3 linked regions of the Styela clava genome follow. The protein of the gene in region 2 interacts with the protein of the main gene of each other region in a biochemical or structural test. Links are inferred from orthologs where the notes say so. Each region holds a gene or a part of one and is shown on either strand. Other genes may lie near its edges.

Region 1 (8,096 bases), on a different chromosome or scaffold from region 2:
TCGATATAAATTCACTGGGAGATCTTGTTCTTTCTTTTGTCAACAATGCCATTTACAAAGGCTAACAGTATCAAATGCGTTTGACTGATCTTGATTATAATTCTTCTGTACAGCAAAGACTTGTTGAAAAACTTGAAGCAAGAGGTAGTGACAAAACTGTAACTACAGAACAAATTAAGTCTCTTACCGACGTGATATCAGTGGAAAAAATTGCTGCAATCAAAGCTAAAATTATGATGAGGAAAAGAAACTATCATTCAAGTCAGTGAACTAGAAGAGGTATTTGGTTAGTTTATTTATCTTTAAATTACAACGCCTTTAGTTTATTGGGACTTGTTTTGGATAAAAAATTTTGTATGATATTGAATAGTTGTATATCAGTATTTTACCTCAAATCCTCTTTGTTGACGTATGCAGTTATTAATTGCACTTGATTCATACCGATAGCTTATTGCTATTAGTTATCTTTATTGTAATTCATGAATCAGTTAGTCATACTTTGTTATGTTAGCAGTTGAGGCATTATAGGCAGCTGTGATGTCATCGCAGGTTACACAACTAACATTGTATTACTGCTCTGCTCTACATTATTGATCTGATCTACACTTTTTCTTTAAATTCTAGTCTTATTTGTAGTTTTTGTTTGTGAAATAGGCGCTTCATGGCTGTATTTTTTGTTTCATTATATTATACAAATATGTTATACTTCAACAATACCTGGGTCATGTGCTAGAGCATTATCTACTTTTGTCTAGCTATTGATAATGTAAACGGATTTTCAGTGGAAACCTTGATAAAGTTGGCGATATGTGAAAAAGATTCATTTCTCCTCAACTTTTTTCTATTCTTTTTTGTATGCCGTATTTATGCACCATTTGCACTAAACAAGGCTATACACAATGAGCCACTACTAAATAAGGGACAACTATAGTTAGAAACGGCCTGAATTTTTATGGTTTGTCATCGTCTAACTAATTTTGTACACCTAAGATTTTAACCTGCAATGCGATGCCATGGTTAAGTCTAACACTTTAACCACTAGGCCAGCGCGCCACCAAAAACAACATACCATTTTCAATCTGCATGATCAAATATACATTGAATTTTCAGGAGTCACAGCTCAAGATGGAGGATTTGCAGAAAAACCAGAATCTTTTGACTTGACGTCTGAAATTGTATCAAGGGAAAGAAGATGAAGAAGGTCAGGCCATAAATCCAGGTACAAATAATACGGGAGTCACTTGGCTAGTCCCCGAACTTGTGATTGAACTGAAATAAAGACAATTTGGATAAAATTATGGCCTAGCCTGGTACACATATTACGTTCCAGTGTCCGCCATCTTTTTTCACATATAGCTCCCTTTGATAGCTCCCAGATTTGCATGCAGTGATGCTAGAACGACTGTTCAGGAGCGATTCAAGTTACGGTAAATACTTCAAGGGTGAAAAGATTAAAATAAATACTTGATCTCAGAGAAGTCATACGTGTACCTTCTTGCATGAAGCAATTTCAAACTAAGAGCAAATGAAGAAATTGAATATGGATTTATGCATAAAATATCCAAGTTATATAATATTATTCCTTTATTTGAATTATTTTCACAGAATCACAGTGTTATACTTTTTTAGGTTTCTGGAGCCGTGCTTCCGTTTCAAATCTTCCTTACAGTTACACTTTCTCATTCTTTAAAGGCGTTGAAATTCGGTTAAAAATTTAAAAATTACGATTTCAAATTCTAGCATTTCATTAGGCTATATATATATATCGACTTGGTCAATTGATTATTTGATTATACAATAATTTTGATTTTGGATAATTTTTATTTTTTGTACTTAAGCGACGGATTTTAAAATCATTCGTTTTGATTGGCTGTCTAATACTGAACTTACAAATAGCACGCCTACTGCTTTCAAATTTTTTTCTTGAACACTGTTTCCCTCCACCATCTTTCTCACAAAGACTTCTTGTGATTGTTACGCTTTCATTTTTTGTGTTTTTTCTTTATAGCCTCTTTCGAGTTGTGGTAAAATTTGGCAGAGAATATGGTTTATTACACACTTAAGGAGTTATTTGTAAGCACAAACATTTCGATTTAATTTTGGCAAAAATATTGCAGCCTACTTCAGGGGTCTCTAACACGCAGCCCTGAAAGCAATTTTTTGCGGCCTGCGCCGTCGTTGAGATTTTTCCAGAAAAAAACTAAAATAGGACAATGTCAACTATGAGTTTTATCGTATTCATATTTATTCTATTGTAATAATTAAATGGTTAATTCAATAATTTTCATTTCGTTTTTATTATGACGAAATAAATAAGTTTCGGTCAGATCATTGAAGTGTGTATTTATGAATGATTAATTCTGCATATGCGCAGTTAACGCAAAACTAGATTAAGACCAACATTTTTAATAAAGTAGTAAACCCATAGGCAATTTCTAATAAGCGTAAATGTTCGGAAGAGCACAGAATAATTTAAGAGAATTGGGAGAATCTGTATTTTGTGTGAAATTATAACAAGGTTCGGTGTCTCATCTGTTGTGCAATTATTGCTGTTTGAAAATAATACAACATTCGACGACTATACGGCTCATTACACAGGGAAAAATACCATGTGTATACTGGAACAATTCGTCACGAAAAGGTACGGCAATTAAAATTTTCACTGATGAAACAGAAATTTTTTCTCTACAAACAAAACGTGTGAAGATTCGGTGAAAGTTTGCTTTGCCATAAGTGAGATGATTGCGAAATCGTCTCGTCCTTTGGTTGAAGGAAATCGGCCTTTTGCATACGACTATAGCAAACCAACACAATATAAGCCCAACGTCGAGTCTCTCGGCGCTACAAACAAAATATCCAGTAGGACTACAAGTAATGAATATGCTTCATGTCTGGTTTGGTGTAAGATTCAAGTGTAATTTCAACAAATATCTTCAGATTTCTTTCGTATATCAATTTTGGGACCTCCTGAAGTATGCGCACGAAGATGGCGCACAACCTGAACTCAGGTTAGTGTTCAGGTTATGCGACATTTTCACCATTTTCTGATTCTTATATATCAGAGAGAGAGTGATGCCTAACGCTTAGTACGATGCGCCACACCATCGAGATCTCTTGTTATGCTTCGTAGTAGGCTACATTAACTCAGGGACCAAATGTATTATATAAAAGCACGCCACGGTTTTTATTAAGATAGTGGGAGAGACAAGGATAACAGAATATATTCGTAAGATATTGTAGCGTTATGACGATCAAGTTGGCAATAATATTGTCACGGTAGAAGTTGTTGCTACAGTGGTTGAAGATGAATCAGAAGACTCAAGGGTTCCGGATTGGTTGTTTATTGTATGGCAACTTCGCAATATAAACTTAACAAAAGAACGCAACCGACCTCCAGCACGACGGTCGGAGAAGGAAAGCGGAAGACACAGTTTTTCTCCTAATTATGTGTAATGAGTGGTCGGAGTCCAAATCCGACAAAACAAGGGTCAACATAACTGTTTATAAACACAAAATATATATACCACTGATATACACACACAATATCTATATGCTCATTGACATATGCTTCCTCCACCACCAAGTCCATGCTTCCGAAAACAAACAATACAGTAAAAACTAATCCCATACCAGACTTGGAATGGTAACCGGACGAGAGGCCGTGGTTCGCCATATGGATAAGCCGTCTTATCGGCTTTCCTCTCCCCCGGGATAAATATGTAAATCCTATCCTAAATCCTATCCTATATGTTAATTGTGTGCTGTGTGTATTGATACTGAGGTAGGTATTTGAATATATTAGTTATAAATGGTGTGAGCAAGGACAAAAGAATTTTTTCCACAGGATTCCTTCAGAATGTGAGATTTATCATAATCAGTCGATAATGGCGATGTAGCCTGAAAAACAAGAAAACAATCTGCGAGTAGGTGTTTAAATGAATGATTATCTGGAAACATGGTGTCCTCTTATTTATTTAGAGATGAATGAAAATGTTACCACCGGATTCTGTGTTCAACCTGTTCACTGCACTGTATTTCCAAAAAATATGCAATTATTGTTTTGTGGCAATGCCAATAAATCTCTCTCCCAGCTGCAAAGAGTATGTTGGCTCAAAGCGTATATATATAATGGACCTTTCCCCAACCTTTGACCCCCGACAAATTCTTCCTATACTTTACCAAAATTTTCGGGGCTATTTTAAGAGTGCTTTTGCGAAATGCCGCTTGTAAAATGGGGTATGTGTTTCGAACCAGCATTATGATTCATCGCATACAATAATCTGTATTTTTAAAAGTACCGGTAGAGAATTTTAGCCCAGTCTATCACAGCTATTTCTACACTAATATTTCATTACTGCAATTGAATTGAAACTCCCAGGAAGAAGAGTGATCATTGAATTATCTGATTTATATTTAAGTTTCCGAAACACAACTGAAAACTAGCGAATAGAGTTCAGAAACACGAAAACGAGGTAATGTTCACGACCACGTTTGAAAATCTGTCTGAGCGGATGCTAAGAGGGAACATTGTTACGTCACTTTTTGAATCTTGCTGATTAGCCAATGTCCCGAAGTAAAGAAGGAAGTCGATGCTTGGGAAAAGGTCCATACTGGCTGGGTTTCCTCTGTTTTGCATACCGGTAGCCGTCTCCAAGTTTTTTGCGGTATCTCACATTGCTGTCTTGGCTTGTTATTATTAATGCGGTTTTTACCGGTATCTCACATTGCTGTCTTGGCTTGTTATTATTAATGCGGTTTTGTTAAAGTGAATATAGTCACTTTGGTTTTGTTAGAAACGGACATCTGCCAGAATGTACGGTACCGGTCTACCTGAAGTGTTGCTGCGCGAGTGCAAAGTGACTATCGTATCGACTGGACCTAAACACAGAAACAGGATCGGTCGTTGCTGTTTTGCGAGCTTTTTTGTGGTACCGGTACCGTACTTTTCTGGTTTACACTAGTTCAGTAATTACAGAATTAGATACCGCAGTAGACTACGGTACCGTTACCGGTAGGTTTTCACAAATAATAAAGTACGGTACTGTTTGCACTTGTAAGACTTGTAGTAACTTTTATGTCAATTTGTTAGAGAGTTTAGTTAGTTACGGTAACTGTTTAATTAGTTAACTGTCAAAATGGCGGATGCACTCAGCCTTCTACGAGAGTACAATATGGCGAAGAAGAAGATTGAAGAACATGATGGCTATATCACGTTCGGAGACTTCTCATGGCCCAAAAATATAAAAACTAATTATCCAATTTGGGGGTGAGTGACTTGTTTATGATTTTTCAATATTCTGCATAATAAATTTCAAAATGCTTGATTGATTAGTTTAATTTTGTATTTTATTAATCTCTAATGTTAAAATTCCATGTACATTTATTGGAGCTCGAAACTATATTATATATACTTATAAATTGTTGTTCATGAATTTCTTTTTTCAATTCCTTTTCAATTATTTTATTTTCACGAGAGTGTTTAATGGTGTATTGCAGGGGTCGGCAACCTTTTGAACTCCGCGTGCCATTTTATGAATAATGAGCACCTTCGCGTGCCAAACATTTTTATGTGTTTGGTTTGCATAATCAACTACCTGATTTGAATAGTCGGAATCGGCTCAATTATTATTATTTATCGCCTCAAAATCCCTGCGGCTTTTTCGACGGATAATATATAATGATTTTTCTGTTGTGCAAAGCAATCAATCCATGACCGATACGGCCATATTTATAATGTCATGCTATATTATAATTTACTCGTATTCAATTTAACCTGCAGTTGCGTCGACAATATAAACGCATTCGCATCACTACCCTAAAATACCACATCAATCCGCGGACATAAAAATGTGTGGTAAACTTCCTGGTTATATCTAGTTTTGATCCGTATTTTACCAATTTTGCGAATTCGACAAATCTGAGCTGTACTTGCAAAAATGACTCCGTTCTATCGCAATGCTGCCACTCAGATTTTGTTTTTGATGATGAAACCGTTAGAAAAATCCCTAAATCTGCTATAAAAGCTCACAGAGTAAAATTTATTTTGGTACAATAAAAATTGATTGAATATACTTTAATTAATTATCTTATATCTCAACACGACTCGATCGGGAAAAAGTCACGTTTCCAACCTTATAATATGAAATGTATAATATTAACACGAAAATTCCCGACGGCAATTTAAAGTAATTGATAAAAAGGTAAATCCGCGCAACATTTAACCGTGTTTCTATTCTAATGGCCGCTCAAACTTATGTGTGCAATAGGCACACGAAATTTTACAATGCCTAAAGAAGCAGTTTTAATCTGTCACGGGCCTCGTACAACAAATTATTTACGGTTCTATTTTTAGTATTTTATATTGCCGCTTTTCAATAAAAAAATTTGCGTCGCTGCTCCACTCCTTTTAGACTTAAAGCAACTCGCTGCCGATTATTGTATAATAACTCTCAGCCAATTCACAATTCTGGGCGAATACAAAAATAAAATAGTTATTATCGTTGACGTGAAATACTTTTTGTGATTCTGGGAGAATAAACACCGACTTAAAAGTGTTTACGGTCAGAATAACACGTCACGCTGACAAAAATAATTGGCGATTTTAGCAAAAAGCTGTACGAATCGCCCAAAAGTATGAATTGATGAAATAATATTCAATATTTCACGATTATCAAAGGGCAAAAAGTAACCCAACAATAGTATAAAAAGTTGCTAGTAGGTGAACGAGTAGTTTCAGGTAGCGAAGCGTTTCTGAAGTAGCCAAATCTGGCACCGCTGCACCGCATATGCTTATCTACACTGAATTCCCGTACAGATTTAGGCCTCTGATCCATCGCTTTTCCGAAAGTAACGAAAAGTGGCAACAATTTCGGCAGTTTAACATCACATGTTTTTTCAAAGGATTTGTCGAATTGTTAATTTTTGTTCAAATGTAGAATTTTGGTCGAACTACTAAAATAAATATCTGATCTGCATCAAATCACTTGGCGTGCAATGAGAAATCCTCTCACGTGCCAGGGGTTGCCGACCCCTGGTGTATTGCTTGCATCATTCATTTCCATACTTCATTGATCTGCATAACTGACGCTTTTAGGCATATGTTTTTTATACTCATATAGAATAAGTAGCCGTAAAATATGAATATATTATGAAGAATGTCTACTATTTCTTCTAAAAATGACATTTATTCACATGATTGTCTCATTATTTTAATAGCATTGTTAATTTTTAGTAAGAAAAGTATGCTTCAATTATTGCATATCAGAGTGGGGATAGCTATTTATCATATATTAGTTGTGTATTATTAAATTCTCATTTTGTATTCTATTGGCAATATACAAATTCTCAAAATTTCTCATTATTTTCTGCCTTATCAGAACTGGTAAGGATGGAAATGCAAAGGAATATTACACTTTGGACTCAATCCTCTTTCTTCTGAAGAATATTAAATTGTCACATCCCCTGTACGTACGTCATGCTGCTGCAGAAGATATTCCTGTTGTCCGAAGACCAGACAGAAAAGATCTTCTCAGTTACCTGGATGGAGAAATTTGTAATTGTTATTTTTTCACATTATCTATCGGTTTGAAAAAAAAAAATTCCAGGAATATTCATACATAACAATTCAATTTTTGCTGCTAGTCAAAATTATTTAAATCGTCTTAATTCGTAGATTGATTACGCTCAGTAAAACCTTTGGTTCTGATATGAATAAGCCATCTTATCGACTTTCCTCACTCTGGGATAGATGTGATAATTCTATGCTTTTACATTATGGGATGTTACAATGTTAATATATCTATTATGAATAATCTAACATTCATTAAGATCTGAGACATCCTCAATGCTTAAAAAACCTAATTTTGTTATTATTCATCTCAAAACTTCTTTATAACTATACTCTCTGGTTATTTCTAGCTACATCAAATAATATCGATAAAAGTGCACCTTTGGAAATCACAATGCAGAGACCGAGCAAAGTAAAACGACCAGTTGCAAGTAGCGCTGGTACGACGGATGATGGGTCAAGTCAAGAACCCGGAGCGAAGCGTGCAAGAACAGAAGACGCAACTAAAATAATAAGAGATAGGGTATGT
Region 2 (6,961 bases):
GCTAGGGAAATTTCATCTAGAAAATTCCGCCATTTGAAATTTCATTCCACTCTACTAAATTAAACTCGAACCTCCAAGGTGCTTTTAGTTTCGTAGCAGGAATTTTCAAGGAAAAAATTTAATATAGCATATAGCCATATACTGTACTGTACTATATACTTTTTTTCCGGCATTTTTACTTCTTATAATGGCCTTGACCCTATCAGTAAGATTTGAAATAGATTTGTTGTTGATTAATTGTGTGTAATGATGTTACAAGTTTTAGATCACCAGTTTTGAAACACATTTTAACTGTAATTGGGTACTAAAGTTTTAGTTTGAATATGGTAATTTCCCCTTTCAACTCCTAGTTTTAGTTGGTTATAAACAAGATTGCTAATTGGATTGTCGGACATGAAGTGGACCAATGGACCGTTTTGTCATATTGTATTTTTCTTGTTGTTGTTGTGGAAAAATCACTTTTCTCAATAACTGATGGACCAATTGCTTTGAAATTTCCAGTGGTTAAGATTAAGGATAATGTTGTCGCTAGAATATTACTTTTATTTATTTCCCAAATTACTGTGGGCTCTATGGATTTGTGTTTGTGCGGAGACGTCATTAAAATTGAAACAAAACGCACCATGTCAAGGTTCCATGATCGCATTTTAGCATCTCGTGGTCAAACTGTCTGTGCTGTAAAATATTTTATGCTTCTTCGTTTTGGCCTTCGTACCTTACAGATAGAGTCACTTAAGGTTTTTTCATATTTTTTTGGGCTGTAAAAATTGCATTAAACTATGAAAGCCACTGATCCTAGTTGAAAATCTAATCTCTGATGTTTTGTACTTACAAACAACCTTAATTGCATTTTCCATTTTGTTTTTAGATACGCTATTTCCATGGGCCGTAAAATTGGAGCTAAAATTTATGCTTTGCCTGATGATTTGTGGGAAGTAAACCAGAAGATGGTAATGACAATATTTGCTTGCCTTATGGTCCGAGCTTTGCAGCTGAAAAGTGAGGAGGGGGAAAATTGAGGACTCGAAATTTAAGACTTTCTTATTGAAGTTTTGAAGATGTGCATTCCAACAATTGTGTCAATAATTCTGTCCTTATGCAAATTTCAAGAATGTAACATCAAGTCATCAAACATTACTTTAATGTAGAGCAGCAGGTCCAGAATTCAAATTATTTTCAGTATGTTTGCTCGCATTTTTTTTTCAATAATGATTAACAGTAACATTTTCACATATTATGACAATTTTATTAAATACGTCATTGCACATTCATTTGGTTTATATCTTTCACTTTCATTTCATGCACTTGGTATTTTAGTTAATCTGGCTCTTGCTTTCACACACACACTATACTATCATATTAAAATTACACCAGAATTTAGTCCTATAACAGTAATTATCTGGCATTTTTTGGCATTAAAATCTGTTGGTAAAACTTGGCACTTATTCAAACTGTACATAAAGTAGTATCATTATACCTTGGATATATTTTAATATTAAACATAATGTTATACCGTATATAATGTACTCAGAAAATTTTTCAAAGATGAGGATTTAACCCTGTTATAACATGTATCTTAATGAAGCATTATCTTTTTTTTTTTGTAAAAATCGTTTCTGGCCACCAGGTTTATGTTGTATCCATGACTAATCCAAGTCCCGAGTATTACACATCATTTTCTGTTTGTCGCATTCACTCACTACATTCCAATCTCAGCACGGTAGGATAGGCTTTTGTTACTGCTAATATTATATGTTTTGTGTGACCAAAAAATACAATATCATACCGTTACTTTTTTCAAATATTTTATTCAAATTTTTTATCAGGATTTTTTTAGTGCAATGGTGAAATTTGAAATTAAAATCACATATTAAACTTTTTTTGGCCACTGGATTCTTTTAGAGCAATGGTAAATTTGAAATTAAAAGCACGCATTGAAATTATTTTGGCCACTCTTATTTCTATGTAGCGTACTATGCTGTAACTATCTGTCCAAATAGCAATTAAAACTTATTTTGTGAATTTATGAATAATGGTTTGTGGGATTCAGTATTAGACAATTATGCTACTACACCGAATTATGCCTTTATTACCGATTCACAATCCACAATATTAGCAATAACAATAATGCATTTTTCATATTATTCTGTTGCATCATTCCAAGTCGCTTGTAAGTTTGTTTTCACTAAAAATGCAATTTCGGTTGAGTTCAATTATTTTTGGTAAATAATTTTCGTTGAATGTTTTGATTCACGAAGTCTAATTTTGTCACTTTCAAATGAGTTTCTTGTTTAAATCGGCAAAAAGTTTTGTTAAAGTGCATTTCCTATGCAGTAAAGCTCGCTATTTAGTTTTTCACCAAATCTAATGCTCGTTAAACCACATTTTCAAATTTTAATACAAGGAGTGTGTGTGATATTGATATCAGCTATTATATACTATAACACTAATCATCCAGTTATAAATGTGTGTCATGATTCTTTATGAATTTATAGGATTACTGGGTATGGTTGAGGATATTAAATTCTCTGGTGGGTTGATGAAGCGCTGATCGAGTAAATTTTGTTTATGTAAAGATGTTCTGGTTCATAACCGTTGCAAATTGGATTTTCTTTTATGGTTTAAAAATTTGCCAATGATTAAAAAGGGGGTATTTGCACCTTTCCAGGCCATTTAGAACTAATATCTGATAAAATATTGCCATACCTTATTTAGAATGGAGAACGAACAAAAACTGTGATCTGTCGAATGGTAAACCCATGTTACCAGTCAAGATAAATGTGAAAATTTAGCTAGGCACAACCAATGTTAGGGAGGCTAAAGTCCTTGATTGGACCAGAATCGTCATTTGTCAAAGACTCGTCATCTAAATGGGAAAATTCAGATTCGTCATCTACCAACTACTAGACTCTGATTGCCCGTGAGTCGACTCTGGATTTATGGACTTGTACACAGCCAATTTATATACACTAGGACCTAGGTTACAATAAAAATCAAGTCAAGCTCTTTTCTCATAATCTGTTAATGAATGATCAAGAGCAGGAAACGAAACAATGTAACTAGAATGATCAGTTGTTCCTGTGTACACTGAAAAGGGAGTAGCAATTATATTTCTCTGCTATACGAATACGTAGTATTTTCGAACGAATTAATTATGAAATAACCATGAGAGCCATTCCATCTTTAGTACTGAATACCTGAAATCGGTTGGTTGGTCCATTAGTTGTGGAGGAATGCGATTTTTCCCAACAGCAAGGTTTAGCAACACAATATCAACGATCATCCGATGGAAACTGACTTCAAAATCAGCATTGCTGAGAGCGAATTTTAAGGAAACCGGTGTTACCAACAGGAGTGGCGGGTGTTCATTAACTCACCCTTGTCTACCACATAAATATATTGACCCGACGTCCTAACAACGATATAGCTACACGCGCACATTAGATAAAACTCTACCATTGAAAAAGAGCAAATATATTTGAAAGTAAGAGTTAAATAATGTTAGGATAGGATAGGATTTACATATTTATCCCGGGGGAGAGGAAAGCCGATAAGACGGCTTATCCATATGGCGAACCACGGCCTCTCGTCCGGTTACCATTCCTAGTCGGGTATGGGATTAGTTTTTTACTGTATTGTATATTTTCGGAAGCATGAACTTGGTGGTGGAGGAAGCCGTAACCGACCAGCGGTTACGTGAACCACCCAACGACGGCGAGGAGTCCAGCAATCCTCTCGCACATAACCATCCCTGCATGGGATTCGAACCTGCGAACCCACGCAGAGTAATTAGAGGTGCGGTGGCGAGCGTATTCCTAACGCTTAGCCCGTTGAGCCACACCGCCGCCGCGCCATGTTCGACTCCGACTCCCGGTTGACGGAGGTTTCGACTCCCGAGTAAATTAAATTTTGATGAAAACTTTTTCAGGAGACTGTTTGGAACGTTTAATAAACTTTTTTATGGTTGAAATTTACTTCTGAATGTCTGAAACTTCGATTTCAAGGCCGACTGCTGACAACATAATTTAAAATAAATGCTCCGGAGTCCCCGACTTGAATCCGGAGTCCCTCACTCACGTAAGATTGGCTGTTTACAGTACTAAACACCACTGTCATGCTAGCCAAATACCAGCCAAATATCAAACTCATATTCCCGAATTTCATATTAAAGTGTTTCCTGGTCTAACAAAATGTACTTTCTGACTTTCTACGAAAACTAATACTTTGGGACATCACGCTATCGGAGGATTTATATTCAGATGATGATTTGGGAATATTACTGTCTCTTATTATAATGATATGATATGGAAATATTGAATATTTGAAAAAAAAGTTCAATTATGTGAAAATTGAATTTTTTCATTAAAAATAGAATTATTTCAAATCTTTCCGGTCTCGAGGGCAAAGATTTGAATATACCATTGGATAGGGGACTAACATAAGAACATATTCCAACAAAAAAATTGTGGTGACACCCGACGAGTTTTCGAACTTTTTGAGGTTCGAAAATGTTCAAGTATGAAAAAATTTTACTTTTTCACAAAATATCGAATTATTTCGAATCTTTCCGGTCTCGGGGGCAAAGATTTGAATATACCATTAGATAGAAGACTAACATAGGAACATATTCCAACAAAAAAATTGTGGTCACACCCGACGAGTTTTCGAACTTTTTGAGGTTCGAAACTGTTCAAATACACAAAAATTGAACTTTTTCATAAAAAATCGAATTATTTCGAATCTTTCCGGTCTCGGGGGCAAAGATTTGAATATACCATTAGATAGAAGACTATCATAGGAACATATTCCAACAAAAAAATTGTGGTGACACCCGACGAGTTTTCGAACTTTTTGAGGTTCGAAACTGTTCAAATACACAAAAATTGAACTTTTTCATAAAAAATCGATTTATTTCGAATCTTTCCGGTCTCGGGGGCAAAGATTTGAATATACCATTGGATAGAAGACTAATATAGAAACATATTCCAACAAAAAAATTGTGGTGACATCCGACGAGTTTTCGAACTTTTTGATATTTTTTTGTTGGAATATGTTCCTATATTAGTCTTCTATTCAATGGTATATTCAAATCTTTGCCCCCAAGACCGGAAAGATTCGGAATAATTCGATATTTCATGAAAAAGTTCAATTTTTGTGTAATTGAACATTTTCGAACCTCAAAAAGTTCGAAAACTCGTCAGATGTCACCACAATTTTTTTGTTGGAATATGTTCCTATATTAGTCTTCTATCCAATGGTATATTCAAATCTTTGCCCCCAAGACCGGAAAGATTCGAAATAATTTGATTTTTTGTGGAAAAGTTCAATTTTCGCATACTTGAACATTTTCGAACCTCAAAAAGTTCGGAAACTCGTCGGATGTCACCACATTTTTTTTGTTGGAATGTGTTCCTATGTTAGTCATCTACCCAATGGTATATTCAAATCTTTGCCCCCAGGACCGGAAAAATTTGGAATAATTCGATTTTTCATGAAAAAGTTCAATTTTTGTGTATTTGAACATTTTCGAACCTCAAAAAGTTCGAAAACTCTTCGGATGACACTACAATTTTTTTGTTGAAATATATTTTTATGTTAGTCCCCTATCCAATGGTATATTCAAATCTTTGCCCCCAAGACCGGAAAGATTTGAAATAATTCGATTTTTCCTGAAAAAGTTCAATTTTTGTGTATTTGAATATTTTCGAACCTCAAAAAGTTCGAAAACTCGTAGGATGTCACCCTTTTTATTTGTTGGAATATGTTCCTATGTTAGTCCTCTATCCAATGGTATATTCAAATCTTTGCCCCCGAAACCGGAAAGATTCGAAATATTTCGATATTTTGTGAAAAAGTTCAATTTTTTCATACTTGTACATTTTCGAACCTCAAAAAGTTCGAAAACTCGTCGGATGTCACCACAATTTTTTTGTTGCAATATGTTCCTATGTTAGTCTTCTATCCAATGGTATATTCAAATCTTTGCCCCCGAGACCGGAAAGATTCGAAATAATTCGATTTTTTTATGAAAAAGTTCAATTTTTGTGTATTTGAACAGTTTCGAACCTCAAAAAGTTCGAAAACTCTTTGGATGTCACTACAATTTTTTTGTTGGAATATGTTTCTATATTAGTCTTCTTTTCAATGGTATATTCAAATCTTTGCCCCCAAGACCGGAAAGATTCGAAATAATTCGATATTTTATTAAAAAGTTCAATTTTTGTGTAATTGAACATTTTCGAACCTCAAAAAGTTCGAAAACTCGTCAGATGTCACCACAATTTTTTTGTTGGAATATGTTCCTATATTAGTCTTCTATCCAATGGTATATTCAAATCTTTGCCCCCAAGACCGGAAAGATTCGAAATGATTTGATTTTTTGTGGAAAAGTTCAATTTTCGCATACTTGAACATTTTCGAACCTCAGAAAGTTCGGAAACTCGTCGGATGTCACCACATTTTTTTTGTTGGAATGTGTTCCTATATTAGTCATCTACCCAATGGTATATTCAAATCTTTGCCCCCAGGACCGGAAAATTTTGGAATAATTCGATTTTTCATGAAAAAGTTCAATTTTTGTGTATTTGAACATTTTCGAACCTCAAAAAGTTCGAAAACTCTTCGGATGACACTACAATTTTTTTGTTGAAATATATTTTTATGTTAGTCCTCTATCCAATGGTATATTCAAATCTTTGCCCCCAAGACCGGAAAGATTCGAAATAATTCGATTTTTCCTGAAAAAGTTCAATTTTTGTGTATTTGAATATTTTCGAACCTCAAAAAGTTCGAAAACTCGTGGGATGTCACTTCAATTTTTTCGTTGGAATAAGTTCTATTAGTAGTCTTTTATCCAGTGGTGTTTTCGAATCTTTCCCCTGTGACCGAAAATATTCGAAATAGTCAAATATTTCGTATAAAATCACGGCCACACTTCGATATGACATTCGGTACAACTTTT
Region 3 (7,834 bases), on a different chromosome or scaffold from region 2:
CGCTGCATTCCTAAACCCATCTAATGATTCAGACGCTAGCTTCTTGCTGATTTTCAAGTCTAAAAAATTAAGAAATACTTACAATCATCAAGAATAGACTCACCAATGCCAGTAAATATATTTTGTTGAGGGATCAATATAATTCTAGATATATCTTTGGTAAATCTGGATAATTGTGGACAAAATGGCAATCCTTGACGTATTGAACCAGACATTAGTCATATAGTGAGATAGAGAACGTTCTATTTATTAGATCAAATCTGCATTGAAATGTTAAAAAAGGAGACAATGAAGCTATTAACAAGCTTGGTCGAATGTCTTTCAATGTCGAAGTAAAAACTTCGTGTACGTATTTGTTAATATCGTTTAGTTTTGATTGGTTGCTGTACAATAAATGAAACGAGGAATCCAACTAACTCCCATGTTTATGAAAGGGTTGATCCGGCCCTGAATACATGCTCTGATTTCTTTTTTTATTTAGAAATTTTCAATTTGTTTCTCTCGCAAATCCGAGTAAAATTACTTGAGACAGTGTCACATTACCTAATGATGTTTTTATCATAACAAGTAGGCTATGTATCTTTCAAAATGATAGCAGTCTCTATCTATATATCGTCCCTTTGGGATTATACAAACTTCGAAGCGTGTCTCTTGTTTTGGTCTACCGCCGGTGAAATAGCCGAGTTGGGTCTGCGATGGAATGTGCGCACTACGAGCAAAAACGAAAAATTGCCTTTCTATGTCAATATAGTTTCAGTGTTAACAGCGGAACATTTGAATTTGGGCTTGGGTTGTGATTATTTATTTATTCTTGACTGTGAAAATGTGAATAAACCCCAAACTAAACGTACCCTGTCATTGTGGCATCATTTCGCTTGATTCGCGAGTTTCCTCACATGAGGACGTTTCCCTATTTCCTTGTGAAAAATAAAGCGTTTTACATTTAAAGGATGAGTCGAGTAAAAGAAGTAAACACAGACAGTACAAAGCATTGTTTATCCACTGTGGTCATTCAATTATAAAGTCTAAAATTATCAGATCTTGTACATAACTACTCTATGGACAATCTCCACCTACAATCAAGCATCCAAAGTCAACAGTTTTCAATGTGAACAGATAGCTTGAGACAAATTGTCTGTCGGAGTGATCGACACCTTTGTTGATGGTGGAATTAGCCCATCAATGTTAACAATACATAAATACTGCTGTATGGAAAAGCAATGTCGCCTCTAAAGAAGTGTCAAATGCGTGCAGATCTCATCAACGCCGACTATCGTTTTTGTTTCTTTAATATATTTACCACCCATTCGAGGAGCTAACCAGTTGCCTCTGCGTCATATTAAAACAAGAAGTCCTGAGGGAAAAAGCATTCACTTTGAATCAAGACATCAGCAACGGGAGAGTAAGCCGGTTAGAAAGCAATAAGTCAATGCAAGAAAGTTTTGTTCGGTAAGTATAACATCTTGAATACAGAATGGATTCCGCTGGAGATGCTCCTATTGTCAGAAGAAGTCCAGTTGAAGACCCGGCCCAAATCAAAGATAACGAATCAGCCAAAGCTGAATCTTTGCAAGGGTCTTTAGCAAAGTTGTCAATGGCCGAAAATGGAGACGAGGTTGTTATTGAAACCGAACCAGTACAAAAGAAAAAGAAAGGTTTAAAAGGTTTGCATTTGCCGGTTAGAGCATTTAAATCCAGAGAAGATAGAGATCCAGAAAGAGTCAATGAAGAATTAAAGGTAATACTATTCTTCTCGCTTATTCACATATCCAATCGTAGTATATAGCCTATTCATTCATTTAATACCTATTGCGCATTTAAAAGCATGAATACCTTTGAGCCTTAATTATCCAAAATCGCATTGTCCCATGATGATGGCAGTAGAATTTTTACACGTATATATCAAAAGAATATTTGGTATCGAAGCGTTTTAATATATCTTCAATTCTCATTCAAAATCGTGAATCTTCGTCGATAAGTACAGTCAAACGAGCCAATTTATCAGTTTTGGCTGGAAAGTCTTTGTAATCAAACACCGCCAATTAAGAAATCACCATTTTGAATATATATAGCCTATACTTTTGCTAATCTAAAATCTAAATATATATACTTTATATTTCAGGTTGGATTCGAAAACATCATAAATGAGCCCGAAGGTTTCTACACTCCCAAGGTATCTTGGCATCTTAGTCATGAAGTTTTTGGTTTCGGCCGAGCATGCTGTTATTCGATCACTACTTTCTTCTGTGGAATTCCTTTTGCTTTTATCTGGGGCATTATCTTCGCTTTTCTTGCTGCTGTGAACGTCTGGATATTTGCTCCATGTAGAAGAGGACACCTCATCAATATGTCATGTCTCAGTGGGTTCTGGTCGGTCTGCATTTCTACCATTTTCGATCCATTCTACAAAAGCTTCGGACTCATCTTCAGCAATTTGCGTGTCCGAACTGAGAAATTTATTGTTTAATTTTTTTATTGTTACATATGATTTGGAAAAAGACTTTGAGAAATTTTTTACATTATAAAATTCTGAAGCTTGTCGCAAACAACATTCACAAATTTTTATCGAGTAATTGAACGTTTCTGTTAGTCTAGCTGAATTCTCATGTCATTTTATTAGAATCAGCAAAATAACCGGGGTTGATATGTGATTTTAATATTATATTTGAAATTATTTTATTTTTATTCTATAACTTTCAGCAGTAACATATTCTTGTATTTTTAATAAAATCATTTACAATATATATATCCGTCAATATAGGATTTTTCTGGCAAAATAAGTGTGTGTCATTTGGGTAAATTAGTCAGATCGATGTGGAAGGAAATGAAGAATCGATGTTCACCCAATGGGCGGTTTAGGATAGTTGAGGTTGCTACAAGCGATTGAGGGCAATTCAAATGTTAGACGGCTGATGGAATGTCATTCTAGTACACATTAACGTTATTCGATGTGGTACAATCAGGAATTATCATATATATATATTATCATTTCTCTTTTACCTATGCTTGTCTAGAGTGTCGTGGCTGTACTTTTCTATTTTGGGCTTGAGATTACTGCTATTCTAAATTGCTGCAGATTGCAGATATTAATTAATGGATAAAATATTCATCCGTATGATTATAATAAAATACCTTTTTTACAATTTTTATTAATTGGGGATATAACTCCTATGGAGTTATCACTTATGAATCAGATAAGACTTTCGTGTTTGGCAAAAGTATGTCAAGTCTCAACAGGACACAATTAATTGAGCGATGAGTTCGTGTGTGTGTTAATCTTCTTGAATGTGCGATGTCGTTGCATCTTTGCTGAAGGATGCAAAATGTAGACGATACAACAAACCGAGCTCGAGTTAATGTTGAGCTTAAACGCTGTCGACAATATCCGATAGAGCCGTGTTATATATACAATATCATTAATAGTGGATTTTAATTAATATTAAATTAAAGCGCGAAAAGAATAAATAATTAATAAATATATTTACTGTGTAAGGGGAACGAATAAAAAAGCACAGCACACGTCACACTAATAGACCTGTGACATTTTACAGAATAGATGGATAGTAGAGTAAGTAGGCTATTTTAGTTCAGTTGATATCCCAATTTATGCCTACATCCCGTATTTTAACATTTTTATTTTGCAGAACTTCATCAAATTCACAGATTCTTATGCATCTGGCATATAGTAGTAAATCTGAGACTGAATTTTATTCATTGCTCAGTTAAAAACTAAATTAATAGATTGCTTTTTATTTATGTAAAATTATAAGTACCCAGTTCGCCGTACATGTATTTCATAAATGGTCATCCCATTCGATTGAATTGATCCAAGATCAAATTAATGTCGGATTAAATACTTTCATAACTTGCCACGCTATTTAGCCTTCTTATCATCTTTTCCGTCTTCCGGGTGGGTGTGAATGATTCGACAGAATGGGCGAATCGCGTTGCATTAGATGCTTCTAGACAATGTTTTTTGAGTTTAGTTTCTATGACAATGACAGCCGATTGCTATTTGGCCCTATATTCGTTCGAAGAAATGCAAGACATGGTAGAAAGTTAGTTGATGTACGAGAAACTCTATAGGTTAAAACATTTGAACCAAGTAGTATCAGATATACTCCAGAGTTTTAAAATTTAATGATCAAATCGTGCACATGCTTTAACGACCGAAAAAGTCTTTATATGGATGTACCATGCAATCATGTAGTTTGTTACTAAAAGGAAAATCCGAATACACTGTGGACCTTTTCCTTTGTTTTATTCGTAAATTTACAATTAACTAAAATCGATCAAATCGGTATTATTATAGCGATCGCCATAATCCTATATTACCCCTAAAAGCATGATTATATCGAATGCGATATTATGATACTATATATGACACAAAAGTGTATTGATTTCGTTCATTCCTATTTGTAGAGATAGTCTTGTCCAGACGTACTCGAGACAGAAAAGATGAAATAATTTGTGAAAATTTCACATTAATTGGCAAGACCTAACAATACAAAGGATAGACAATAGATTAGATACCTCTGCAGGAACAAACAATTTACCGCACCCGATATTTAAATTATTCCATAGGTAAAGTCAAAACTGCTAGCGAAGTAAGATCGCAAATAATCGCAAAAATGTCAAGATCCGAAATTAAGTTTGCTTCTCTTAAGCAGGTTTCGTTCGTTTGCGTATTTTTTTTTCGAAAACTACTTGCTTTGCACTGAACAACATGCTTGATTTCCAGTAATATTTAAAAATAATATAAGACCTTGTCAATGTTTAATGAGTTCAATATGAGGCAGGTTGAATGAATGAATGCAACTAAGTACGATATAAGAGAACATTGGCTATCACAAACGCACAATCTATTGGAGTGAGAAAAGTGGCACTTAAAAGAGAGACCAAAAGATAACATCTCTTCAGCACTCTCACTCTCTCCATGTTATTATAATGCATTAACACACTGATCGTTTTTCCCGAGACGCATCTGCGCAAACGTTTCGACAGCTGACAAGGAGATTCCATCGCCTTGATCGAGTTGCCGGTAATGTCATCAGTGGGTTCGCGTCGATAGCCTCCGTACAATATATAAATACGTTTGTCGGACTAAGACCTCGGAATGGATTCTGGTAACTTGAGTGGTTCCCGTAAATCTTTGGAAAGAAAATCGGAGATAGAAATGATGCCCGTTGATAGTCAAAGATCTGGAGGTGCAGATCCAAACTTCAGTCAAAGATCTGGACCACAATCAATGAACGAAAGCCAAAGATCTGAGGGAGACCCAGTTAGCATGCATATCGATGATGCTGGTATGGAATCCATCGAAATGGATGACGGAGTTAACGTAGATCAGCCAACGTCAAAACAGCCTTCAGAAAAAGCGGATTCTATCGACTACGACAATAGAGATCCCAACAATATTCACGAGGATGTGAAGGTATGTTAAACGCTATCTATATTTAATTATAGATTTTGTTATCAAAGCTCTCATACCAGAGTGGAACTTGGTTATTGAAGGTATTAAAAAGGATTAACTAATGCTGAAATTCAAAATTTATTGACCGTTTATTGGATCGTAAACGTAATTATTCAAAAAATAAAACATTTATGGTTTTATTTTTTCATAATAAGAACAACAAAAAGTTGATTACACGAAAATGACTCCTCATTCTTGTTGTTGTATATATGCAATTTAGGTAATGCTCGACACTATTGTAAAAATAAAATTCTTTTTGGTGAAATTACTGAGATTACTCCTGAGCATTAACTATAGTGGCATGAGATATCGCTTATCTGATCTAGATAATCTTTATTACATTTTATTTCCATGTACGCCATATTGATCGCAATGTCGTTCATAAATGACAATGGAACGTGATAAACTGCAAATATGCGTGCACTAACGATCACTAAACCAAAGTGCTGTATATGCAAACTAAGCTTTATTTGAACTGGCAGCTTTATTTCTTTATAGTACTTTGTTAGCTACTTACATCTTTTAAAAAGACATTTGTTCACTTTTACGAAGGTTAATTTTGCCGACATTATCGCGGAACCATCCGGAGCTCACAGTTTCGAGACTGTATGGGGAACAAGCTACAAGGTCTATTCACTTACAAAATATTGGATCTACCAAGTCATGTCGTTAATTTTTGGAATCCCAATCTCATTATTTTGGGGTATCTACTTCTCGTGTCTCGCTTTCTGCAGCGTATGGTGCATCACGCCATGCATTCGTTCATTCATCATCAAGGTAATATTATTATCCGAACTTGTAGAATTGTTGCAAACATTTTTTCATTTCGTGATAGTATTTCTGAAAATGATGAAAATGTAGTTTTCTTTGATTTGACTATTGCTGAAGTAACATACTGTACTTTAATAAATATGATTATCTTTTATACTAAAGCTTTCATACTAAAATAATATAAATGGGTGTTACACCACAAGCATGACGTAGATTTCAAATATCTATCTGAGGATATTTCGTAACGAATTTATCGTTCTGTGCAACAATAGTTTGCAGTTGAATTGTGAATTTGATATTTTAGTCTGTATTTTCTCTATATCATTATTTAAACCCAGCGTTGCCAAACACGTGACATTGTTACGTTATCACCTGAAAACAATATAAAAATGCATTTTAATCGGTGCTATGATAATATTCTTTTTTATATATTTCAGATTGGTTTCGTTGGAAAATTATGGGGAGCTTGCGTTGGTACAGTATTGGATCCTTGTTTCGAGTCTATTGGCCTGGTTTTGAGTCGAGTCCGAGTTGCAATGACAGTGCGAAAAGAATAATACACATTTTACCCTATATCACAATTTCCTCACAATGTTATATAAATCTTCAATTAGTCATGGAACATTATTTTCTAATAAACCTACGTTTTGATACCTAAACAATATTCAGATTTGATTTGATGAAAGCTATTTCTTTACAAAAAATTCATACTCAATGATTTGCTGAATTTAATCAAATTTTAAAGTTAATTCCCTTCTTAAAACAGTGTCATCATACGTTTACGTTGAATAATCATGTAATTTTCGATAAAACTATTATTAGTATTTTATCAATTTTATATTTTCATACGGTATTTGAATTAAATTAAATTGATATTTGCTAATTTCAAATTACTGATATGGAAACATGACAAGACAACGATTTGAATCTTCAATCCTGCACACCAAATATTGTAGATCGACTTTTTTTATTTCATTCATTCAAGGCACTTTTCCTTTATGTAAACTTACTAAAAATTTATCTTTTCAAATATAAAATTTTTTCAATCTCACATGAAAAGTTGGGAGTTTTTTAGATTTATTGGTATGCTGAAAGAGTAGTATGTAGAATGTTGACGTATCCTATCTCAGTATTCTAGAGTACAACGAAAAAGCAATTAATTTTTATATTCGTGTCTGTGTAGGAATGCATACACAGAGCATCATCAAATTGGGGGGTCAAAAACAGTGAGACTCGAAAATTTTAACACGAGTGAAATAAAAGAAATTTCGAAGGAAATAAGCTGTCAGTAAGATGTCATTCATAATGCAAATATCAAAAGATAGCGTCATATTACCCACAGGGAGCGTGTAGCCGTTGCTAAATACGCTGTGACCCGTGTTTATTGTTATGAGCAAAGCCAATATGGGATATTGAAAGCAGAGTAACTAGACCTCAGATCAGACACGAGCCATACTGGTCTGACGTGGCCTGTCAGATGTTTGAACTTGGCTTGAGGCATGAAAAGACCATGTAAGGGATATATTTCAGACAACGCGCACGTAAAATATATGAATTTAAACCGTGACGACGATGAAAATATCCATACCC

The links.
Region 1: of the proteins of tyrosine-protein phosphatase non-receptor type 11-like (region 2) and parafibromin-like, one has a biochemical effect on the other in vitro, tested with the Homo sapiens proteins (2 studies listed by BioGRID and IntAct). The link is inferred for Styela clava from reciprocal best matches to the Homo sapiens genes PTPN11 and CDC73.
Region 3: the proteins of tyrosine-protein phosphatase non-receptor type 11-like (region 2) and caveolin-1-like form a complex in vitro, tested with the Homo sapiens proteins (2 studies listed by BioGRID). The link is inferred for Styela clava from reciprocal best matches to the Homo sapiens genes PTPN11 and CAV1.

Annotation. Positions count from the first base shown.
Region 1 is NC_135254.1:14,448,049-14,456,144, forward strand, and holds the start of parafibromin-like, read left to right. Parts: upstream 1-5,065; 5' UTR 5,066-5,135; coding exon 5,136-5,266; intron 5,267-7,376; coding exon 7,377-7,552; intron 7,553-7,917; coding exon 7,918-8,090; intron 8,091-8,096. Other genes in the region: parafibromin-like, read left to right, coding at 114-269.
Region 2 is NC_135256.1:10,913,316-10,920,276, forward strand, and holds the start of tyrosine-protein phosphatase non-receptor type 11-like, read left to right. Parts: upstream 1-3,865; 5' UTR 3,866-4,092; intron 4,093-6,961. Other genes in the region: plastin-2-like, read left to right, coding at 869-1,019. UniProt on the Homo sapiens protein: Acts downstream of various receptor and cytoplasmic protein tyrosine kinases to participate in the signal transduction from the cell surface to the nucleus. Positively regulates MAPK signal transduction pathway. Dephosphorylates GAB1, ARHGAP35 and EGFR.
Region 3 is NC_135258.1:20,350,455-20,358,288, reverse strand, and holds caveolin-1-like, read left to right. Parts: upstream 1-5,057; 5' UTR 5,058-5,116; coding exon 5,117-5,434; intron 5,435-6,025; coding exon 6,026-6,250; intron 6,251-6,681; coding exon 6,682-6,801; 3' UTR 6,802-7,303; downstream 7,304-7,834. Other genes in the region: caveolin-3-like, read left to right, coding at 1,475-1,738, 2,123-2,467. UniProt on the Homo sapiens protein: May act as a scaffolding protein within caveolar membranes. Forms a stable heterooligomeric complex with CAV2 that targets to lipid rafts and drives caveolae formation. Mediates the recruitment of CAVIN proteins (CAVIN1/2/3/4) to the caveolae.